Rhinolophus ferrumequinum: one gene and its partners. The protein of the gene in region 3 interacts with the protein of the main gene of each other region in a pairwise test. Links are inferred from orthologs where the notes say so. Each region holds a gene or a part of one and is shown on either strand. Other genes may lie near its edges.

The links. The genes of interacting proteins can lie anywhere in the genome.
Region 1: the proteins of CREB5 (region 3) and FOSL2 interact in binary tests that used the Homo sapiens proteins (3 or more experiments, as listed by UniProt). The two-hybrid records come from large-scale screens. The link is inferred for Rhinolophus ferrumequinum from reciprocal best matches to the Homo sapiens genes CREB5 and FOSL2.
Region 2: the proteins of CREB5 (region 3) and KIFC3 interact in binary tests that used the Homo sapiens proteins (3 or more experiments, as listed by UniProt). The two-hybrid records come from large-scale screens. The link is inferred for Rhinolophus ferrumequinum from reciprocal best matches to the Homo sapiens genes CREB5 and KIFC3.

What each region holds. Positions count from the first base shown.
Region 1 is NC_046296.1:52,533,276-52,540,643, forward strand, and holds the start of FOSL2 (fos-related antigen 2), read right to left. Parts: upstream 3,021-7,368; 5' UTR 1,967-3,020; coding exon 1,865-1,966; intron 333-1,864; exon of another isoform or gene 1-332.
Region 2 is NC_046298.1:10,368,541-10,375,468, forward strand, and holds the start of KIFC3 (kinesin-like protein KIFC3), read right to left. Parts: upstream 3,021-6,928; 5' UTR 2,879-3,020; intron 1,660-2,878; 5' UTR 1,378-1,659; coding exon 1,135-1,377; intron 1-1,134. UniProt on the Homo sapiens protein: Minus-end microtubule-dependent motor protein. Involved in apically targeted transport. Required for zonula adherens maintenance.
Region 3 is NC_046303.1:13,464,118-13,471,378, forward strand, and holds the start of CREB5 (cyclic AMP-responsive element-binding protein 5), read right to left. Parts: upstream 3,013-7,261; 5' UTR 2,955-3,012; intron 1-2,954. UniProt on the Homo sapiens protein: Binds to the cAMP response element and activates transcription.

The DNA.
Region 1 (7,368 bases), on a different chromosome or scaffold from region 3:
GGCAGGCTTATATTCGAGAACCCCATGCACTAGTTAATGCTAATTGCAAAATCCTCATGTGTTACAGCATGCTAGGAATTAGCCAACAGCTGCTTTTGGCTTCGGTGATGAGGCCCCATTACACTCCGCTGGACTCAGTTCTCTTCCTTCTTCCTAGCAATGGTTTCCTGTCTGATTTTCTTCCAAAACAGGGAATTGCCTCCGCTCACATCCTGGGCTCAAAGCCCTAGTGACACAGATTATTCAATTGGGGCACTGATGTCCGGTCTGACTTCCCATCCAGGCCCCAGGGTCTGAGCAAAGCCAGGCAGCAAGACTGTCATATTTCAGTGACGGTCACAGAAACTGCAGCGAAAGAATAGACAAGAAATCAAAAGATCCCTTCCTGATTTGGGGAGAAGAGGGACGTTGGAGGATTTGTTGAATCAGAGAGGGAGAGAATGGGTATAAACGACTCCAACCCATCGTGCCTAGGGATGTATGGATTCAACACAAACTCCCGACCGACGGGGCTGGAAGGCAAATAAATCGAACGTTTTTATGAGAAGATTTTAAACTCATCACCTTGGTGCTCATTATTAAGAGTGCAGTGACTGCACCCTCCATGCTCAGACTAGGCTCTCTCCCGTGAGTGCTTATGGGGACACCAGGGGAGATAGAGGGAAGATTCAGAGTCATTTGGGGGGACTCACCAGGTATGGGGAATCACTGGCACAAGGTGATTCAGATCCCAAAGAGAACTGTTTCCATTTTACTCTACCGCAGGGTCCATCCTTCCCTGGAAGCCCACCCTAACCCCTCTGGCAGGCTGGCTGGTTTCTAGAGACCAAGGCCACCCAACGCCTTACCGGAGCAACTTTTGCTGCCTCCAAGTTAGCTAGACCCCGCAGATCCTGACCGCTGCGGGCTTCTGCTAGTGGCTTTGTGTGTATGAAGCCAGCTCCCTAACAAGACTGGGGGTGGGGGTGGGGGCTGCTGCGGAGGGCAGGCACCCCACCAGCACCACCACTCCACCAGGACCTTTCTGGTATTTATAGACACACAGATGCATGCACAATCCCTCCAGTGCAAACCAGTCCGGCTGCTTTAGAAACAAGTTGTTTTTCTGCTTCCAGAACCACCCAGGAGCCCAAGCGAGGTCTCTTTCCTCCACTTCTCCCAGTAGGTCTCCTTGGCCCTGGTACTCCCAGACCCTCCAGGCACCCCTTCTAGTGGCCTTGCAGCCTCCTGCTCCCACCCTAACAGAAGATGGATGGGCCCAGGGCACACAGACACCACCCAGTCAATCAAGGCTGATCTCCTCCTTCTTGACCTTCGCACCTGATTCCCAGGGCAGCCCTCACCTTCACTCCGGATTACTTGAAAAGGCCAAACCGTGTTTTCGAGTCCCTAACCGCTCAGAAATTAACTGGCTGCTGGGAACGGGGAAAGAGAGGGAGAGGGCTTTCCCGCAGGAATAGAGTCCCAGGATATTGGGAGAAGCCAGTGGGTACAAAGATTTTTTTTTTTTTTTTTGGTCCAGCACCGAGAGAGGGAAAGGGGCGCGTAATTCCTGGGAGAGAAGGTAACAGGTTTGGTGTCCAAAGAGCTTGTCTGGATAAGATGTAGTGAAGGAAAGGGTTTGTTGTCTTTCAAGCCCACTCCCCGCTCGTTTGTGTGTGTGTGAGTGTGTGTGTGTATGTTTTAAGGTGGTGATGGGGGAGGAGGGGTGGGCAGGATAAGAAAATCTAGAACTTACAATGGTGGCCCGTAGGAAATTTCTCACCAAACCAAGAAAGGGAAAAGAAAGCAAAGAGGCGGTGGCGGCGAGAGGAGGGAGGGGGTTCCGTCCATGCCGCCAGGTGCATCCGGGGCCCGCACTTACCTGCTGGCCGCCGCCGCCGCTGGAGTAGGACTCGGCGTGCGCAGGAGAGCCGCTGCTGCCCCGGGACGAGGTGTCAAAGTTCCCGGGATAATCCTGGTACATGATCCGCGGTGGGGGCCCGAGAGGAAACAGGGTGTTTTTCTTCCCCCGCCCTCGCTGCGGCCGCGCACCGGCTGCTGCGCGCTCGCTCCCTGCGGCCCGGGCCTGGGCTTCAGTCTCTGCTCCCGGGCTTCTCTCCCACGGCGGCCGGCGCGGACCGGGAGGCGGCAATACGCGGGAACAGTGCCCCCTGAGCGCCTCGCGCGGCACTTCTTCCCTGCTCTACGAGCGCCGCGGGACCGGTTGTCCACCCAGTCCCTCCCACTAAGAAGTCGGCGCGTCCCTCCGTCCCTCCCCTGCGCGCGCTCTCCCGCCCCCGCGCGCAGTCAGAGCTCGGCTAGGACCGCCGGCCCAATCAAAAATTGGAAATTAAAAAAGAATGGGAGGCCGGAGAGTCACGCCTGCCAGGTCTGGGGTCTCCGATTTCAAGCGGAGCAAAAAAAGAAAAGAAAAAAAAGCGAAAAGAAAGGCTGCCCGCTTGGAGAAACTTCTATTTCCTCCTTTTAGAAAAGGAACTGAGAATAAACTTCCTGTGGCCGACGCGCCTCCGGAGTTTCGGAGCGACTCGGACACTTGACTAGAAGGCAGCCTGCGTCCGTCTCCCAGCCCGTGGAGTTCAAGCTGAACCGGCGCTGAGAGGGACGCGGCCCCGCTCCCCGTGTCGCGGTTCCAGCGCCTGGACCTGCACCCCTTCCCCGGCGCCCGCTCTCGGACGGGCCCGCCTCTCCCGTCGGGTCCTCTCTTTCTCCCTCTCTGTCCCCGCCGAGCGCCGCTCGCTTGCTGGCTGGTTCGCTCGGAGCCCCTGCGCTCTGCCCGAGATGAGTCACTACAATGGCACGAGTTCAACTCCACACTCTTTATTCTCCAGCCCCTGTACCATGTGGATTCACTCACGTCAACCCGACTCCACCTTGCAGGGAGGAGCGCGCGGGGAGGCGAGGAGGAGGAGGAGGAGGAGGAGGAGGAGGCGGCGCGGGAGGAGGCGGGCGCGGCGCTCTCCTCCCTGCCCCGGCTCCTGGCCGCGCTGACGCCAGCCGCACACCCCGCACGAGGAAGGAAGGCTGTGGTTGGGGTGGGAGCGGCCGGCAGGCGCGGTTTGGGGGAGCCGCGGCAGCCCTGTCCTGCCCCCGCTCACCCCTTGGGCCCAGCGCCCTTGGTCTGTTCCATTGGCGCACGTTGCCAAAGATGGTCATTTGCGTTAGAGGACGCGAGTGCGGGTTCCCTTGCTTTCGCGTGACGTGGAGGGAGAGGGATTCCCTCGCAGGCTCCCGAGCGCGCCGCGGGCTCCCCCTACCCCCACCCCCCCACACACACACACACAGCCCTGGAAAGGGGCGCGGGGCGGGGCCCCCGAGAGCGGCCGCGCGGGCCTCGGCGCCGGGTTTCAGAAAATAATCACAGTCCTGAAGAGCGAGACTGGCAGTTCAGTGCGGCGCCACCGCCAGGCCGGGAGCCCGGCGCGCAGAGCGGCTCGCAGGGAGGGCGCGGCTACCCGTGGTCGTCGGCGCCCTCCGCGGCGCCGCGGGTTGCAGCGGGCGCCCTGGGCACGCAGGGTACCCGCGCCGCCCTGCGGCCTGGCTTTGGCGGGGCACAGCGCCTCTGGGCGGGGCCGGCCTGCCTATTCTTCGCTCAGTGGCTGGCTGCCCACTGCTTACCCCCATCTTTTTTTTTCCCCCGGCCCGACGATTAATTTATTAGGGGAAAGCTGGAAAACGAAAATTTAACCAGTCAACATTCCGGCCGCCCTCTATGCGGGACAATTAGGACGCACTACTAGAAGCAATCGGGTATTATAAGCAAACAACAGACTGTTGCGAATTGCAAAATAATAATAACAGGGAAGGAGGGAGGTCTGGGAGAGGGTGTGGCCCAACGTTGTCTTCAGCTGTTTTGGAGTGAAGTTCAAGGAGCAAGTAGACGGGACTCCTAAGTCTTCCCGCCGCCCTGGGGCGGGGCGAGGTGCGGGATAAAGACCACAGGCCTTCGAGTACGAACGCCAGGCTGTATTTACGAGCTGTGAGACTGGGCGAGTCACTTAACCTCTCTGGGTCTCAGTTTCTTACTATAAAATGAAGGGGTTGGGCAGGTGACCTTGTAAGGCCCTTGTCAGCTCTGGAACTTCCACCCTTCTGCAGAGATGATCCGGAGGAGCACTGTACTAGGTAGGAGTCAAGGAACCTGGGTTCTGGTCCAGGCTCTGCCTTAGTCTCGGTTTACCCATCTCAAGTGGCGCCATCTGTACTCCCACAGGGTCCTTGGAGGACCCAAAGGGAAGACGCGTCAAGACTGAAACGCTGTAACACATCATAGTTCCGGTCCTCAGTTTCCTTATCTGTAAAGTGGAGGTGTTGCTAGGAAAGAAAAATAGAGCCGGGAACTCAATGCTTTCCCGGGACTCTATATAAAGCGCTGGCGTTTCCGGGACGGCTGGCGGCATCTGGCCGCCCCAATGACCCCAAGATACGGTAATCCCAAACAATACTCGGGGTCATTGTTTACAGTTATAAAACACATTCTGTCCTGAGCTCCATCCCCAAGGACGCGCGAGGCGAGGCTAGCCAGACTCCTCGAACCTCCGCCACCGCCCGCGGGGCAGTCCCCAACTCCGCGGGCTCTGGCGAGGGGTGTGGGGCAGGCGGGTGTTCACACCAGCCGCGGGGGCTTAGGGGTGTGTGTGTGTTTTGTCATCCCTGAGTTCTGCCTGCAAGGGTGTTTACGCGCCTCTCCCAGCAGGACTGAGTAAATGCAGTCCTTTGACGCAAAACCAATCAGTCCTTTTCCCAGCGGCAGCGGCAAACCCCAGAAAACTGGGGGTGGGGACGGTGTGGGAGGGAGCGCAGAAGAAATCGTGACACTTTCTCATTCACTTCTCCGTCCTCCCCGCGCCACACGGACCTCTGACCGCCTAGAGAGGTCTTTAGGGGGTGGGGGGCAAAGGGAGGCGAAGCCGGGGCGTCCAAGGCCTTTCCGTGAGCTGCCGCGTATCAAAGAGGCGCGAAGACACACTTTTGGTTTTCCTTTGAGCGGCAGCGGCTGCCCTGCCCTCCCCCACCCTGCATTCGAAAATCCGGGTGCTTCTGGGTCTCTCCCACACAGTCCTTCCAGTAACGCGGGGGAAAGGAGGAGGGGGAAGGGAGCGGGAGCTTCTTCCGCGCCCTCCGCCGTCCCGGGCGCGCCCAAGCCCGGGCAGGCGCCGCTGGGAGCGCGCGGGCGGGAGAGCGCACCCTCGCCCGCCCCCGCCCTGCCTGTTCCCCGGCCCTTTCCTTTCTTGTGGGTTCCCGTAAAGCCCAGCAGCCCCGAGACGTCTGCAGAGCATCACGGAATCTGTGCTGATGCAAGTCGCTAGCCTCCCTTTGGTGAGCCCGGGCCTACCTCGGAGCGCTTTGATCCCGGTCTTCCCCTGCTCCAGAATTTGGCTGGTTCCCTCTGCCCGCGGGGAGGCCTGTCTTCCGCAGCCTGCCCTCACCTTTCAGTCCTCGGAGAGCCAGACACACAGAGCTGCGCTCCGGTGCTGTGGGGACTGAACCGCTGCTGGTCCAGCTGGTGCCTCGGCCAGGCTATGTGTGCCAAACTGTGAGTTCAGACTCCAAGTCCAGTTAACTGACCCCTCCGTGGGAAATCATTCCAAGATCACATAGTTAGAGTACTCGGGCTCCCTGGAATAACATGCTAAGAAGAACAGAGGCCAACGTTTATTGAGCGCTTACCAAGAGTCCGACACCAGGCTGAACACTTTATAGGGATTGTCTCTTGCAGAACTCCCAACAGACCTTTGAGTATTATTCCCTGGTAGCAGATCAAGAAAGTGAGATTAAGGCACTTATCCAGGAGAATTGGTTAGTTGGCTAGTGACCCGGTTGGAAGTGCAGCTAGGCCTCTGTGACACCTGCTCTTCCTCTTACCCAGGATACTGCATGACCTGCCTCCTACTGGAATGTCTTGGTTTCTCTTACAGGTCTTCAGAGAGCATGGACTTCATCTGGTACATGGCTTTGTCATATACCTAGAGGTGCTCCTTAATTCTCTGCTGAATAAATAAACAGCCTCGCAGCATCCTTCAGCCTAAGGAAAGGTCACATCAAGTGAGGGACAGGAAGGAGGGAAGCTGGGGTACAGGCAGAGTAAAGGGTCCTTGCGCTGTCCTCTCATTGTGTCTTTGGGTCTCTGTAACTTCCCTGCCCTCCATTTGCCAGTTTCCGCCTTTGTCCCTCTAGCCCAGTGTTTGGCTCCTGACTTGAGTCCCGGAATGGCTGCCTTCTCTGGGCTGCACTAGCCCACACATCTGAAGCCTGGACAGTTCAGGAAGCCTTCTCACATACCTGGCCTTACTTGTCCTCACACACAACATCCCCAGCAGGGATGTGATGGCAGTTGGGGTGACTCTGGACTGCCAAAGAGGAGGCCAGGGAACAGAGTGGCAAAGCAGCCTACTCAAGATTTCCCAGCCTGTGGGTGTCAGAACTGTACTCAGACCTATCTCATCTGACTTTACACCCAGTTCTCTGCCTGTTACCTGTGCTCCCAGCTTCAGCCTTGTCAGGTCAGAAGCAAACACTGTTGCTTAATGATAAATGCCCTCTATCCATCAAACCCAAGCAAATCTGCCATCATTTCTGTATAGTAAGCCATACATTTTGATGATGTTTTAACATTTCTCAAAGTGTGTGCATCTTATAAGCAATGACTGTTTAATATGGAAGTGTTTCTGTTTGTCCAAAGGCCTCTGGATCAGTCAGGAGTCCATCGGGAAAGACACTTCACACAGTAGCAGCTGGAAACTGACCACCCTGGGGTTGAAAAGGGGAGGAAATAGTGTTATTAGAGCCGAGTGTACACTGGGGCCATGGAAGAGAGCCACGCAGCAGGAGGGAAAGAAATAACCACTGCCAGAGAGAGTGCTGAAGGGGCTGTGGGAAGGACAGCAGACGCATCTCTCCCATCTCTTCCCCCATCTCTAGCCAAAGGCAGTCCACTGAGGTCAGCCTCTCAGGGCACAGAGAAGGGCGAGGAAGAGTGTGGACAGTGGATCTGGTGGTGTTGGGGAAGGCACACACTCAGCAAATGGGAATAACCAGTGTAGATGCTATTAAACCCAGATGTATCTTCTTATGGGTGGCATTTCAGGCTGGGGGAAAGCCAGTCAATCAGTGAGTCTCATACCTCACCCGAAGTGGGGGTGAACGTCAAAACAACCTGCACAGCTTTTTCAAAGTACACCTCTCCTCTTTTTAAACGTCACTGATGCACTGAACCACTAATCTGGAGGGGATGCATTGTATCCCTCAGGTGTGGGGGCAGAAAAAAGTTGGGAACCACTGATCAAAAGAGATCAGCATCTGGGAGAAACAGCTGGATGAATAAGCAATGCTGACTCTCTCCTCTGTAGCCTTACATGACCTCCTTTA
Region 2 (6,928 bases), on a different chromosome or scaffold from region 3:
TTTCTGTATTTTATTGTTATCATGACTCTTATCACAGTCTGAAATTATCTTGTTTTCTGTCTGCCTCCCCTGCCAGGTGTGCAAGCTCCAAGACAGAGAATCGTGTTGGCCTATTCACATCCTGGAAAAGGGCCTGGTACAGAGCAAACATTCAATACATATTTGTTGAGTGAAGAAATCAATCAATCAAGCAGAGATAGATAATGAACTTGTAAATAATTAATGCAATCCAGAGCAGCAAAGTGGGAATCACTCAAAAACTAATCTCAGGCTCTGCCATTTTATCAACAATAAGTACAACAACAACAATAGCAATAAAAAAAAATCAATAATAATTCAATAATTATATTTTATAATCCAATTCAATAAAACAGTTTCAACAACACAAATAACTCGGGTATTGATTCAAAGCGCTTGGCATTTACTATCTCTTCTCAACCTCATGACAATCCAATGAGACATAGTCTGTTATCCCCATTTTAATGGGTCCAAAAACTGAGGTATAGCAGATGTTTTGTGACTTGCCCAAGGTCACAGAGCCAGTTTGGGGCAGAGTCAGGATCCTAACAGGAGGCCACACAACTGTATTCAAATTCCTCTAAAGAAACATTATAGAGCTGGTGAAAGAAAGGTTTTCAAAAACAGATTACCTCACAGGCACATTGGGAGGGTTCAGATAAAAGGGTTTTGGATTCATTCTGAACTACTTGAAAGAGATCCCACCACAGTATAGTCGGAATGTGAACATAAACAACCATTTATTGAGCGCTCACTGTCAACCAGGCCCAGGGTTATGCACTTTACATGCATTATTATCCCCAGTTTACAGATGAGGAAACTGAGGTACAGAGCAACTGAGTAACTTCTTCAAAGTCCCCTGGCCAGGAAGTATTCATCTCAGCTGTGGCTGCACAGATATTCATCACAGGAAAAACCTAGCACTCAGTTAGATCTGGTCATTTGCCAGGAGCTTCTGAGAGTATAGAAGATACTAGAAATGCCTAAATCTGGCAACTTTCAGACATGTTTACAAGACTTGAAGAAAAAACTCCATACTTCATCCTGGAGAAGTTTCTTTCCTTTATCTAAAGGCACTGTGAACTGTGACCCTCCTTGGCAAGGTCTGCTCCTTACCTGTAAGCCATGGACCGTTGTCTCTGAGACCAGGATGCTTCCTGGGGAAGGGGCTTGGAGTTTGGCAGGACCAGATCCATTGGAGGTGCCGGGGCCAAGCCAGTGCCAGCCCCAGGTCTCCTCCTGGCCTGCACTGGGGGGTCTTTCCCATTCTCCCCTTCGTCCCCTCCACAGAGCCCAACTCTTCAAGCTCAGCTGGAGCAGGGCTGGAACCAGGAACATGGCAGCCACGGGCTGGCTCATGCTGTCAGGTTGTGGGAACAGAATCTTCCAAACTGGGGCCTGCAATGGCCTGTGCCCTGGAATTTTCTGCTTGGTTCACCAATTCCTAGCTGGACCAGCAGTGGCTTTGGTTTTGAACAAGGCCGGCATTCAGTCTTTAGTCCAGCAATTAAAAGGCTTTGAGGACAGGATCTCCTTTAGTTTCCAGGGCATGACCCGGGTCACAGGCAACACAAGCAAAGGTCTTCAAATATTGTCCTCTGAGTTTTCTAGCCAGTGTGTCTCCGCTGCAGTCAATACGGTCTTGAGAAGAATTCGAATTGTTATAGCAGGGGAGGCAAAAATAAAGTTAATGAGTCTCCTGACATTCAAGTGGCAGCTCAAGATATCCACAGTTGAACCTCTCCCCAAATTTTTCACCCCTCCCCAAATCCCGCGTCTCCCCCAGCCTTCCCACCCCAGCTAATAGCAACAGCACCCTTCTTGTGACTCAAGCGGAAACTGCAGGCATCCTTGTCTCTTTCTTTCACACGCCACGTCCTACCAGTGACAAGTCTGCCTGGCTCCACCTTCGAATAGCATCTGGAATCTGACCACTTCTTCCCACCCCCACTGCGCCCACCATTTCTGCCGGGATGCCTCCAGGAGGTTCCCCCTGGTCTCCCACTTCCAGCCCTTTATTCACTATCATCACTTCTCAACTCAGCAGCCAGAAAGTCCTCTTAAAATTAAAGTCGAACCATGTCAATCTCCTGCTTAGAACCTTCGATGGTTCCCATTGTCGCTCTGAGAAAAAGCCCAAGTCTGACAGCGGCCCTTCAGGACTCGCAGCTGCAAACCTCCCGTTACTTTCTATTCTTCCACTCTGCTCCTGAAATCCACCAGGCACCCTAAAGCCCTTTGCACAGGTTGTTCCCCTTTATCTGGATGCTCTTTCCCCAGATATCCACGTGGCTCCCTCCGTCCCTGCCTCCCCACCTGCTCAGGCATCTTTTCCACAAAGAGGCTCACCCCTCATCTTCCACCTCCACTCCCCAACCCACACCCTGCTCTGGTTTTCCTTTCTTCCTTCATTGCCTTTAACACCTGTGACATGTGAATGATGTACTTATTTGTTGTGCCTGTGTGAAGGGGAGAAAACCTACAAGGTGTACTTTTGTTTGCCAGGATCTCTCAGGCAGCTGTATGGAGCCCGGCATGTGGAAGGGGCTCAGTGAAGATTTGTGAAATGAAGGCGAGTCCCTGCGAGGCACGGAATTTCTATTGAAGAAACATGAGAAAGGGAAGAGAGGAAACGTTTGAACTTTCTGGCCCCTTGGGGAGATGAGATGGGGGAGAGAGTGTCGGAGGCGGGGCTGGAGACCATGTAGGTGCCCCCCTCCAGCCACTTGTAAGCCTCTGCCTACCCCCCCAACCCACCCACTGGGTTCTCAGCTGTCCTGAGAGCACTGTGACATTCCCGGCCCCAGACCCGAAATCGGACTGGAAGAAGCAGACAGCTGAAGGACACGTCTTTCCCTACCTGTGGCCTTTGTGACCTTGCAGTGACCTCCAACGTGGGCGAGGGGCCCCAGGCACTCCACTTTCTACATATAAATACTGATGGCTGAAGAAAGCGAATAGTAGAAAGTGATCCTAATAGAAGTGGCCTTGCTGCAGATGCTAGAAGGCAGTGTCCTGCTGGGAAACCTGGACACCCGGGCAGAGAGGATGGCCCAGTGCAGCCCCCACAAGTGCAAATTCCCTCGTCAAATCATCCAGGCCCCGATTCTTTAATGAATCTGGTCACAGACAGCCCGTCCTGCCTCCCCTGTCTCCCTCTCCATCTGGGTGTTAACGAGAAAAGCAGATTAGAAATGTCAATCCCGGGGCTGGTTCAGAGCTGCAGCACTGTCCACATTCGTTCCATTCCGACAGGTCCAATTTCCTTCCCCAAACAAACACTTGGGAATTGGGTTTTGAGAAACCTTCTACTTATATGAATTTCATGAGCTTGACTATGACCTGGAGTAACTCTTTTATGAGCAAAACAAAGATATGACCAATAAAAAGGAATTTGTTTTCCTTTGTAATTTCAAATAGAGTCTGTGTGTGTCAAACACACATGGGGCCGTCCAGTTTTTTGTTAGAAGCAGGAAAGGCAAGTCCGATAAGGTAATTTGCAGGTGCTACTGTGAGTATCTAAGAGAACATTAAGACTTTGTTTCCTTCATCTCATTGTTCGAGAGTATATACTTTCAGATTCCATGCAGAGGCTAGAAGAATCCTTTGCAAAACAATTTAAAAATACGCTGAAAAATTATTGTCGGAGCAACTCTGTTGTTAATTAAAAAATAAATCAGAAGCCAAAGTTTTATTACCACGTCATCCTTTTATATCTAATGCCTCGAAATTGCCGTACATTTTGGGGAGTCTACTAAAGCGATTAGCTCGTTTTATCCACATGGGTGTTCACGTTATTATGGTGCCCTTGGGAAGTAAGAGTGTCCCAGAATCATTGTAATTTAGTCATTGTTTTCTTTAGTATAAAGAAAGCCAAGTTGAACAAGGAGTGATTCAGCTGACTGAAGAAGGACCACACAGAGAGCTGAAATTCAGGGCCAGACGAAGATGCCCTATGAATCTCATTTTCAGTTCTGTGTGCAGACCACTAACGCGTCTCTCTCACGAAACAGAAGCCCTGAGAATGACTACATAGTATTTTTAACAAAAACATTTACCATGTCTGAGGACTTTATGCTTGTGATACCTTCACGCAGCAGCTTTGAAGAAAAACAGCAGAGGTTAGGCACGCCTTTTCAAGGTCAAATTCTATTAGAAGAAAAAAATCTAAAGACCTAGATTCCCTGGAGGCAGCCACGTTAAACTTGTTTTGTTTTCAAGGCAGGAAATATTCACATAAAATTACACTTTGTGAGAGGATGTCTATGATGATTTAAGTTTTGTCTCTCTTCTTCTCCCCTCCACAAAAGATGAATCCTAGAATCCTAAAAATGTTCTCCCCTTAGCTGTCATGGTAAGTAACCTACTTCGTTGTTGCTCTTGAACCAGCAGAAAACAACAGCACTGAGTGATCAGATGGTACAGGGATTAGCAGAGAGGCTAGAAGTAAGCTTTAGAGGTTTATATCTACAGTACGAACTTGGGTCCCACTGCTAGAGACAAAAAAGGAAAAAAAACACAAAAAAACCCTTAACCAATTCAAGGTAACGACAGTAACAGTTTCTCGATAATTGGTGATCTCATTTGAAAGGGTCAGTTGTAAATAAGCACAGCAATGAAACCCAGTGTTCACTCATCAATTTATTCTCTACAGATCAGTTTAATTGAGATAAATTACCTCGTAGACAATGACAATACCGACTTACTTACACAGATAAGTAAGATCTGTGAGATCAATTGAGATAAACTCTGCGGGTGTGTATCCGTGGAGGCATTTACTTTCTCATTTCTGATGGAATGATTTTCAGGCACGTAAAGTGCTCAGTGAATGCATGATGGCAGTTCTCCAAGGATCCGAGTCAGTATAGTTTTTTAAACTACAGAATTAGTGCCCTTTGTTTTATGAAGGGAAGGACATAAACTCCCTGCTGCTAGAATAAAAGAGGTGAGCAGAGGTGTTTAGAATGAGTGTTGAATGTTCTTCACAGCATGATGTTAAAATTCAAAAGATTTCCAGTGGGTCACTCTTGTTTGTAATGGGACATTTCTTAAAGGGGGGAAATTTTATTAAAATGGGGAGAGATAAACTACATTTTCTCTTTCACTTAGTGGTGGGAATCTCTGAGTAAAACACACTGTAAAAATACCTGGACATACCTGAGATACATGATTGCGTTCGGCACCCAGCAAAACATTTTCAATCTAGAAATTCACGTGCTTCAGGTGTTGGGACTTTCTTGTGTTATTTCTTTGATTTTTTTTTTTTCTCCCTTCCATTTTCTTGGTTCTCTCCAGAATTCTTTTGGGTCCATTTTGGGAATTCCTGATTTGATTCTACCTTGCTTTTCTCTTCCATTTCTCATATCTATCTTTTTGTTCTAGCTCCAAGAAATTTCCTCAGCTTTATCTTCCAACCCACCTATTGATTTCCCCTCTCACATGATATTTTTAATTCCCCAGAGATTTTTCTTGTTTCCTGACTATTCATTTATCAATAGAATTTCAAGGGTACAATTGCATTTTGTCTCTCTGGGACTATTAATTATGGAGTTTGTTTTTTTCCCTTCTCTCTTTTGCTGCTTTAATTGTTTGTTTTCTCTCTCTCTCTTTTTTTCCTGTTTGTTTCGGTATCTACTTTTAAGTTAGAGACTTCATGTTAGATTATTCTTGACTTTCTGTTCATATTTAAGGATGGGACACTACAAAGTCAATTGGAAGTGTAAGTGTGGGTAGAGCTCATGATTGAAGAACTTCCTGTCGGGTGGTAGAGTGGGGACCAGGATCTTTCATTGGAAGGCCTTCATTGTCAATTTTATTAGGTCTTTTCTCTTGAGCTGGTCAGTTTCCCCAGAAGTGAATCATCCCATCTCCTGTCTAAGTTGGGTACAATCCTGGCTGCCAATATTCCGAGACCTAAGAGAGGAAAGGAGGCTGGAGGTCTCATTGTTCAAAATCAAATTTTCATTTAATTCCTGTTTTGGGTTTGGTGTCTCATCAGCCCACTCCCTTTTCTAAGTCCAGATTCTTTGACATCTTTGTCTGCTGTTGTTTCCTCTTCTATTATCTTCATTCTTACAGGTTTTTACTTTTTCATTCCTTTACAGTCATTTCATTTGGGTTCAGGGATGGATGAAAATAAATGCATATGCTCAAGCCTCCATGCTTAACTAGAAATATTACACATTCATATTTTGCTTCAAGAGGTTTCATGCTAAGTACATTTATATTATGAGTGATAACTGCTCCATAAGCTCCAATGATCCCAACTGGGGTAGAGTGAAGGAACCTATATGATGAAAAAATTTCTACATTCTACTTGAAGTGGTGGTGTATCAACTATAAGTTATCTGTGAAAAGTTAGATATGTAAATTGTAATTCCTAGAGCAACTTAAAAAACTTCTTTGTAGACTATTTCTTTGTATGGAATAGCTAGAAAATGTTTTGTATAGAACTAAAAGTAGTATGTTCTAGTATATAAGTAAAAAAAAAAATTTGTATAGAAAAGCTATTCAAAGAAATAAAATAAAAAAGCCAACAGATAAATTAAAGTGGTATACTAAAAATGTCCAAATAACCTAAAAGAAAGCAAGAAAGGGCAAATAGAGAAACAAAAAAATGGAGGGGACAAACAGAAAACAAATAAATGATTGACCTAAATTCAAACATATTAATAATTACATTAAGTATAAGTAGTCTAAATATACCAATTAAAAGACAGAAATTTCTAAATTGGACTTTTAAAAAAGGCCCAACTATATGCCACCAATAAGAAATTCACTTTACATATAATGGTATAGATGTGTTAAAAGCATGAGTGTGGAAAAGTATATACCATGCAAACAAAAAGCTGGAGTGGCTGTATTATTCTCAGACAAAGTAAATTACAAAGCTAGGAAACTACTATGGATA
Region 3 (7,261 bases):
GCTCTAAAGGTCCAATTGTTTATTTAAATGAAAAAAAAAATATCGCTACTGAGATAATCCACATCTCGTGGATATGGGAAAATTTAGGTTATAATGGCACTACAAACTTTTACATCTAACTTTGATTTACAAGATAAAAGCAAGTTTTAAATTAAAAGGGCTTTCTGTTAATAGAGCTTATTATTCTGAAGACGGGAATGATTTTCTTCGAAAGTTGTCCCTGGGTACATGCCTATTATCTTTGCTTTTCCCCTTCCACTAATGAGCATTTATCTAAAGAGCCTGTTAATCCTCTGATGTGTGCTTCTGGTCAGAGGTAACAGTTTGAATAAAACCACTAATCACTGATCACTAAATCACTGATCATTAATCACACTCTCCAGTGTCCGTGACCCGGGCCATTTTTTCCTTTAGGTCTATGCATCATAAACAAGAAGTTTAACATTTTAGATGCACATGTTTGTGCGGGTGGGGGGGCAGTACTATTTCATCTCTAGATGTGAATAAATAATAAATACTGCCTCGAACTTGGGGAAGGATTGTCAATTAGATCCCAGACAGGAGTTTCACAAATGCTTACTCTGCAGCATGGCTTTCACTTTGAAGAAAGTAGGTCTGACTATAACAAAACATGTGTTCTTCAAGAAATCCCCACATCCTCAGAATATAAATTTTCCTTTATTTAGTTTTCAGCCACTCCAAATCAGAGAGCACCCAAGTCCTCTGCCCACTCCATCCAAAACCCCACTAGTAATTTTTTTTTATTTCTGCTGTGCACACTCCTCCCGCTCCAAGAGTTTTTACTTTTATCCCTTAAACATGGTCACACACTGGTGTTTTTATTTCCACTGCCAAATATGAAGTTCTGATTCAATTCATATAACGTGTGTATTTAACGTCCTCTTTAAATATAGAAACTTAAGGTTGAAGGAAAGAAAGTAACACACGCAGCAATTCATTGTATGGTATTTTGGGTTTAACGACTCACATTCCCTCACTTTGGAAATGAAACGTTTAATCTTGATCCTTTCAGCTAAATTTGATTTAGTCAGCATCCTCACTTCTTCCCTGGTCTGCTAAGCGGTTGGAGAAAGGCGCTACGTAAAATTAAGTGCTATGTTTGCAGTGGGTGTGTTGTTTTCCTAAATCACCACAGGGACACAGTATCATCATAACGTCTCTAAGCATTTCCTGAGATGTCTTTCTATCAGAGCTGAGTGTTTTCGCCCTGGAGAAGAGGGGTCGCTGGTGCCTTTCGTAAATAATAGAAAAGGGCAGATTGTGCGTGTGCTGATCAGGTACCGTGCTCCCCTCAGACACCAGAAGCTCTTACCCACACTCCAGGGACAGTGATAGCCCCGGGGAAAACAGTAAAAGGCGGAGGCGGGGCCAGAGTGATAACGGTGTGGGAGGGAGAGGGGGTGACGAAGGAGGGGTCCCGGAGGAGGGAGCAATACAGATGCCCACGGAACTGGCGCTTGTACAAGTATGTTGGGGCTGGGGGTGGGAAGCAGAGTTGCTTTGTCAGCATTTCTAAGCCCCCGAACCCTTGAGTATCTGAAGCTGTTAATCACTTACTGGCCTGCAGAATGACGTAATGGACCTGTATCCAGCCTTTATTCCTTGACACATGTCAGAGAGGGAGGGAAAAATAAAAATCAAACACACTCTGCGGACACTGACAACAAAATATACAAGCAGCCCACTCCGGTTCCTGGCCTTGAACAAACATCAAGTGGGGGCGGCACCCGTTCAGGGAAAGTTAGGAAGGAGGGTGGACAACGTCTGGGGCTTTATCTACCAGATAACACACACCCTCGCCCCCGCCCGGAAATAAATCTATGGCAAAGAAGAAGCTGGGTGCAGCTGCCAGGAGAAAACATCTCCTTCGTTCCTTCGCGTGTCTTGCCCCTCTAAGAACTTCGTGAAAAGTTTAAGCGGTTCCGTGGAGAAACTGTCGTAGAGGAGGGTTCCTTCGCCGAGTCCTGGGAACTGCCACCGCGCCGCCGCGGCAGAAGCCCGAGCTGTCACTTGGGGCAGCGGCGGGGAAGAGGTAACGATGCCAGCGAGCACCGGACGGAGGCAGGAGGCGGCTGAAGAGTGAACGCGAGCAGAGCCTCACCACTCTCAAGCCTTCCGTGCCTGGAGCGAAAGCCAAGTGCCTCCAAGGGCGATGTCCCCTCCCCGGGTGCGCGCGCCCACCAGCTGCGGCGGGCAGCCCTGCGGGAGAGGTGGCAGCAGCAGACTCGGCACCCGGGAGGGAGCGAGCCCCCCCGCACGCCCTCCTGCCCACCCGCTAGGTGACCACGCGTCCTCGCCGCGCCTGCTGGAAGTTTGCAAACTTTCTTCGGGGGTTCCGCCGCATCACCGGGAAGTTGGGGACGCGGGGGGAGGTTCCTGGCTCGCCGTCTCCGCTGCCACCGCCGGTGCCACCGCTTGACCGCACTTCTGGAGGGTTCCGCACCTTGCCAGGTCTCTGGAGGCAAACACACACCCCCGATTCATAACTGTTCCCCGCGTCAGGGAAACACACGCGCGCTCCCACACACGCACGCACGCCGGGTGGACACAGCGCTCACTCCACGTTAGCATCCCTTCAGTCGCACGGCGCAGCGGCCACCGAGACGCGCTCCGGGAAAGACACGGCGTGGGGTCTCTGGGGTGGCCTCAGGACACAGCAGAATTCCACAGTTCACCATTATTTGGGGCCGGACTTCCTTCTGGTCCGCCAAAGTGTTTACAAACACAGATCACCCTCCAAAAAAAAATGCATCGCATCTTCCCTACTCCTTGCCCTGTGACCTGCCCACTGGACCGAGTAACCTCGCGGCTGCTGCCGAGAACCAACCCCTGCAAACAAGTACGCTCCCGAGATGGCTCCCTCGGCAAGTGCAACAAAAGTGGCTAAATGCAAAAGCCCCAGAAGTGGCCGAGCCGTATTTTTAGGAACTTACCAAACAAGTGTGGAGAAGGCAAGAGCGGAGCCCGGGTGAAGGGACCACGTTGGACTGAGCAAAGATTACAATACATTCTATTTAGAGTGCATTACATCACCCCCCCGGTGACGTCACGTGGGATTCCTGAACTTCTAAATCATTGCGGTCCGCGGGGGAGAGAGGGAGGGGCGGGGCCGGCGCGCCAAGGGGGCGGGCCCCGCCCCAGCCCCGCCCCACCAGCGGAACCTGGTGCACCCACCCCGGAGCGGCGGCGGCGACGACCGCGCAAGCAACAGCTTGCAGAGCCCAGCGCCGTGTGACACGGCTCCCTGACATTAGTGGTGTGAGTCAGCTTGGAAACAATCCTCAGGGTTTCAGACAGGACCACGGAGGAGGCACAGACACGGGTTCTCCTGCGAGGAGGGCCTGGTAGCATTTGAAAGGTGTGGGGAGGGGTGTTAGGGGAGAGGTGGGAAGGGGGTCCTGAAGGGTGCGGGAAGAGACTTTCTACCAACAGAAATGAAGGACGCTACCCTCCTCCCCCAACAGCAGATGTCCAGCTCCTTTTTGCCTGCGACAACAGTCGTGACCTCATTACAGTGTTCCCTGCACTGCATCCTGGTTTCTCAGAGCGCGCACACAGCACTCCTTTTAACCGCCCCCACCCCACCTCACCTGCAGGGAATAACTTTATTGTGCACCCTCACATGAAATACACAAACCCCACCCTTTCCAAGACCCCTGCTTCGTGCTTCTGAGAAGCTGGAGGGAGAGTTGCTCCTGGAGGCGAAAGGTGAATCACTGCTGGAGCCAAGTGATGAGCCTGATTTAGACTCAGCGTCAGAGCCGGAAGGGCCCTTGGCGATTCCCTCCAGAGCCTTGTCTGTAACTTGCCCAAGCTCACAGGCTGGCAAGTAGCAGAGCCAGAGCCAGAATTCAGGATCCCGGCGCCTGGTCTGCAGTATCTTCCTGACAACTTCCTGAGAGAAGGAGCCTGGCATTTTCGGCGTTGGCCAGTCACCATCACCATCTTCAGCTTAATTTCCATTCAGATGTTCTCCCTATGAGGCGGACTCAAAGGGAAGGCATAGGCGAGATTCCAGCCGATTTTATGCGACCGCTGTCATCCTTGCAGCAGCTCACACTTTACAAAGCACTCACACCCACGTGAACTCTCTTGATTCTCACCACCCAACACAAGAAGTAGGGCAGGTGTTATAATTATCCCCATTTTACAGGTGAAGGAAGACAGACTCCAGAATGTGAGGGGGCTGGCCTGAAGTCACTTGAGCAATTGGTGGCAGTGGCATCACCCCAACCCCTGTTTTTAAAGCCCAGATCCCAACTAGGCTTCTTTCTAGAACCAGGAGTGAGCATTCGCTTCTCCTGGGTTACTGGTGGTCACAACCTCTGCTAAGGATGTGTTGGCTGAGAGTAAGAGGTTTGCTTAGAAACAGTTTAGCCCCCATTAACAAACAATAATTATTCCTGACATTTATGTAGCAGATGACATTTATATAGCACCCCTCATCCCAATGCCTCATAACCATGACTGTGCGGTTTGCCAGAGAATCATGACTGGACTGGCTTGAAACTGTAATGCTCTGCCTGGATTGTCACATACTTCTGAGCTGGTTTGACATACTGAATGGAAGAGCTTTGCATTTCCTTTCTGTTCTGAAGTGTTCAAACAACTCCCTCCCCTTCAGTGTTCCTTGAGACCATAGGGACTGACGACTTGTCATTTCTTACAGCCCTATTCAGGACGCATCACTGAGTTTTCTGTTTGTTCTTTTCCACATGTAGCCCTGAAGGAACCTGCAAAAGAAGGGCTCCAGTCCTAACTTGAATCTTAACCAATAAAACTTTAAATATGACAGCTCAATTACCTGGGTTTATGGAAGGAAGCAATAGCCCTACTCAGGATAGCCTCCTTGCCCACATCCCCATTCGATTGCCAGAAAAGCCTTTTCCACCTGAAGGAGGTATCTACCTCTTTCTCCCTCAAAGAAAAAGTATGAGCCAGAGGAGGAACAAATGAAGCAGAAAGGGGATACAGCTCAACACATCAGAGCTCAGTCTGAGAGCTTATCTTCTTTTCCAGCTGACAGGTGGGACCAAAAGAATAGAATAGAGAATTGAATAAGCAATGCCGAGGTGATAACCAAAATATTTAAAAGCCTGTAAGTAGTTAATCGACATGTAAATTTAAAACATTGAATCTCCAGTATTCTCTAAACAGAAGCATATACATATGAGGTTTTCTTTTTTAAAGATTTTATTGGGGAAGGGGAACAGGACTTTATTGGGGAACAATGTGTACTTCCAGGACTTTTTTCCAAAGTCAAGTTGTTGTCCTTTCAATCTTAGTTGTGGAGGGTGCCGTTCAGCTTCAAGTTGTTGTCCTTTCAGTCTTAGTTGTGGAGGGCGCAGCTCAGCTCCAGGTCCAGTTGCCGTTTCTAGTTGCAGGGGGCACAGCCGAACCGGCAGCCTTCGGAGTTAGGAGCATGGAGCTCTAACCGCCTGAGCCACCGGGCCGGCCCCTACATATGAGTTTTAATGCAAGTAGTTTATCAGTTTCTAATGCTATCCAGATCATTTGTTGAGCTTTAAAAATTGCGGACCTTTTGTTTGGCATGCCGTCACTAAGTAAACAATGCCCCTTTCTGAGCCATGATTGACATAGTAATACACATGGAACTTTTCCAATGACGTCCCCAATTACTCGATAATCATTAGGTTACTTGGAGTCCCCATAGGTAGATAATTTCTCTTAACATCAGTAGTATTGTTTAAGGTTGCTGACTCCTTTCTCAGCTTCTACTGAACTGACAGCAATTTCACTCAGAATGTTTCTAGCCATTGTATTATAGACAGTTTTTTATATATTTCAGATCTCTGTTACCAACTAAGTCACACACACACACACACACTTTTTTTTAATAATGTAACTTGAGAAGAAAGGTAGTGTTTCCCAGTGTGGACTCTAATGGCAGGCTGCCTGAATTCGAATTGTGGCTATGGGTCTCAGTCTCCTCATCTATGTAATGGGGATGATGGTAACTCAAATGAGTAAAGAACTGTGCTTGGCACAGGATAAATATGTAAGTACCTGCCTGCATTTTTATTAACGAGAGAAATGTGTCTAATGCCACGATAGGAAGGCATTCAGTGATTTTTAGCAAATTTGACCAAATAAATGAAAACAGACACTGTTTCCCCAAACTCTCCCGGCCCCACACTAACCCCTGCGTGCATCATCTGTGCCAAGCAGGTTTTCATCTGTCAAGCCATGCCAACACAGCCCTGAGGTTTGTGGACTTGAACTCCTGCATGCCTCGTGCTCTCACCCAGGCTCTTCCAGGATCTCTCAGAGCCAAAGTCCCATGGAAGCTGCAGTCCTCAGAAGCAGCCATGCTAGAGAACCTCTAGGGATACCACAGCTGGTGGTGGCCATAACCTGAGGCATTTGACTACTGAGGTACCAGCACCACCTCCAGAAATGCCATTTCACCCACTAGGATTCTACCCATTAAGGCCTAGGGGGCCTGTAAAGACAGGGACACTTACACTAGAATCAAGGTAAACTGTTGGGGTATCACCCACCCAGGATCCTCCCCACACCCTTCCACAGGGTAGGGTCACAAGTAGGGCACAAGCCCACCCGTATACAAAGACACTGGTTGGACCTATGAGGGGCTGACTGACACCTACACTGACCAATGAGAATAGATGACACCGCATGCTAGACCAGGGGTTAACCCTTTAGTGGCTAGATCATGGGGCAGTGCCAGGGAGAGGCCTGGGCAGCCGGGCCAATGGATAAAACAGAGGTAAGAGCAATGGGTATTTGCTAACCGCATTGGAAGAATTTTAACATTTTAACACATTTACAGCCTTACCAGTGGTTACCTAGTGAATATCAAGCCTGAGTAGAACCATCCCAAAGTGCCCTCAGATGAGGAGAAATCCTTTATCTCTTGCTTTGGATTTAGTAATTTCTCCAACATTCAACAAAGGGTGGGAGGTCTGCCCCATGCTGGGGAGAAAAAAAAGAAAAGGTCTTCTTCCATGTTCCTAGGCTCCCACAGAAGTTCTCAAACTCAGCGGCATCAGATGCACTTGGGCAACTTGTTAAAGGCAATTTCTTGGGTCAGACTTCCCCGGGGATTTCAATTCAAAGGTCTGGCATTGGGTTCAGGATTCTGCATTTGTCCGGGGACCCCACTTTGAGTGAGTCTTGCTTAGTGAATTTATAGATGGGCCCAGGAGGAAGCTGGGGAGAGAACAGGAACAGTCTGCTGCCTGCGACACTACATAAATAT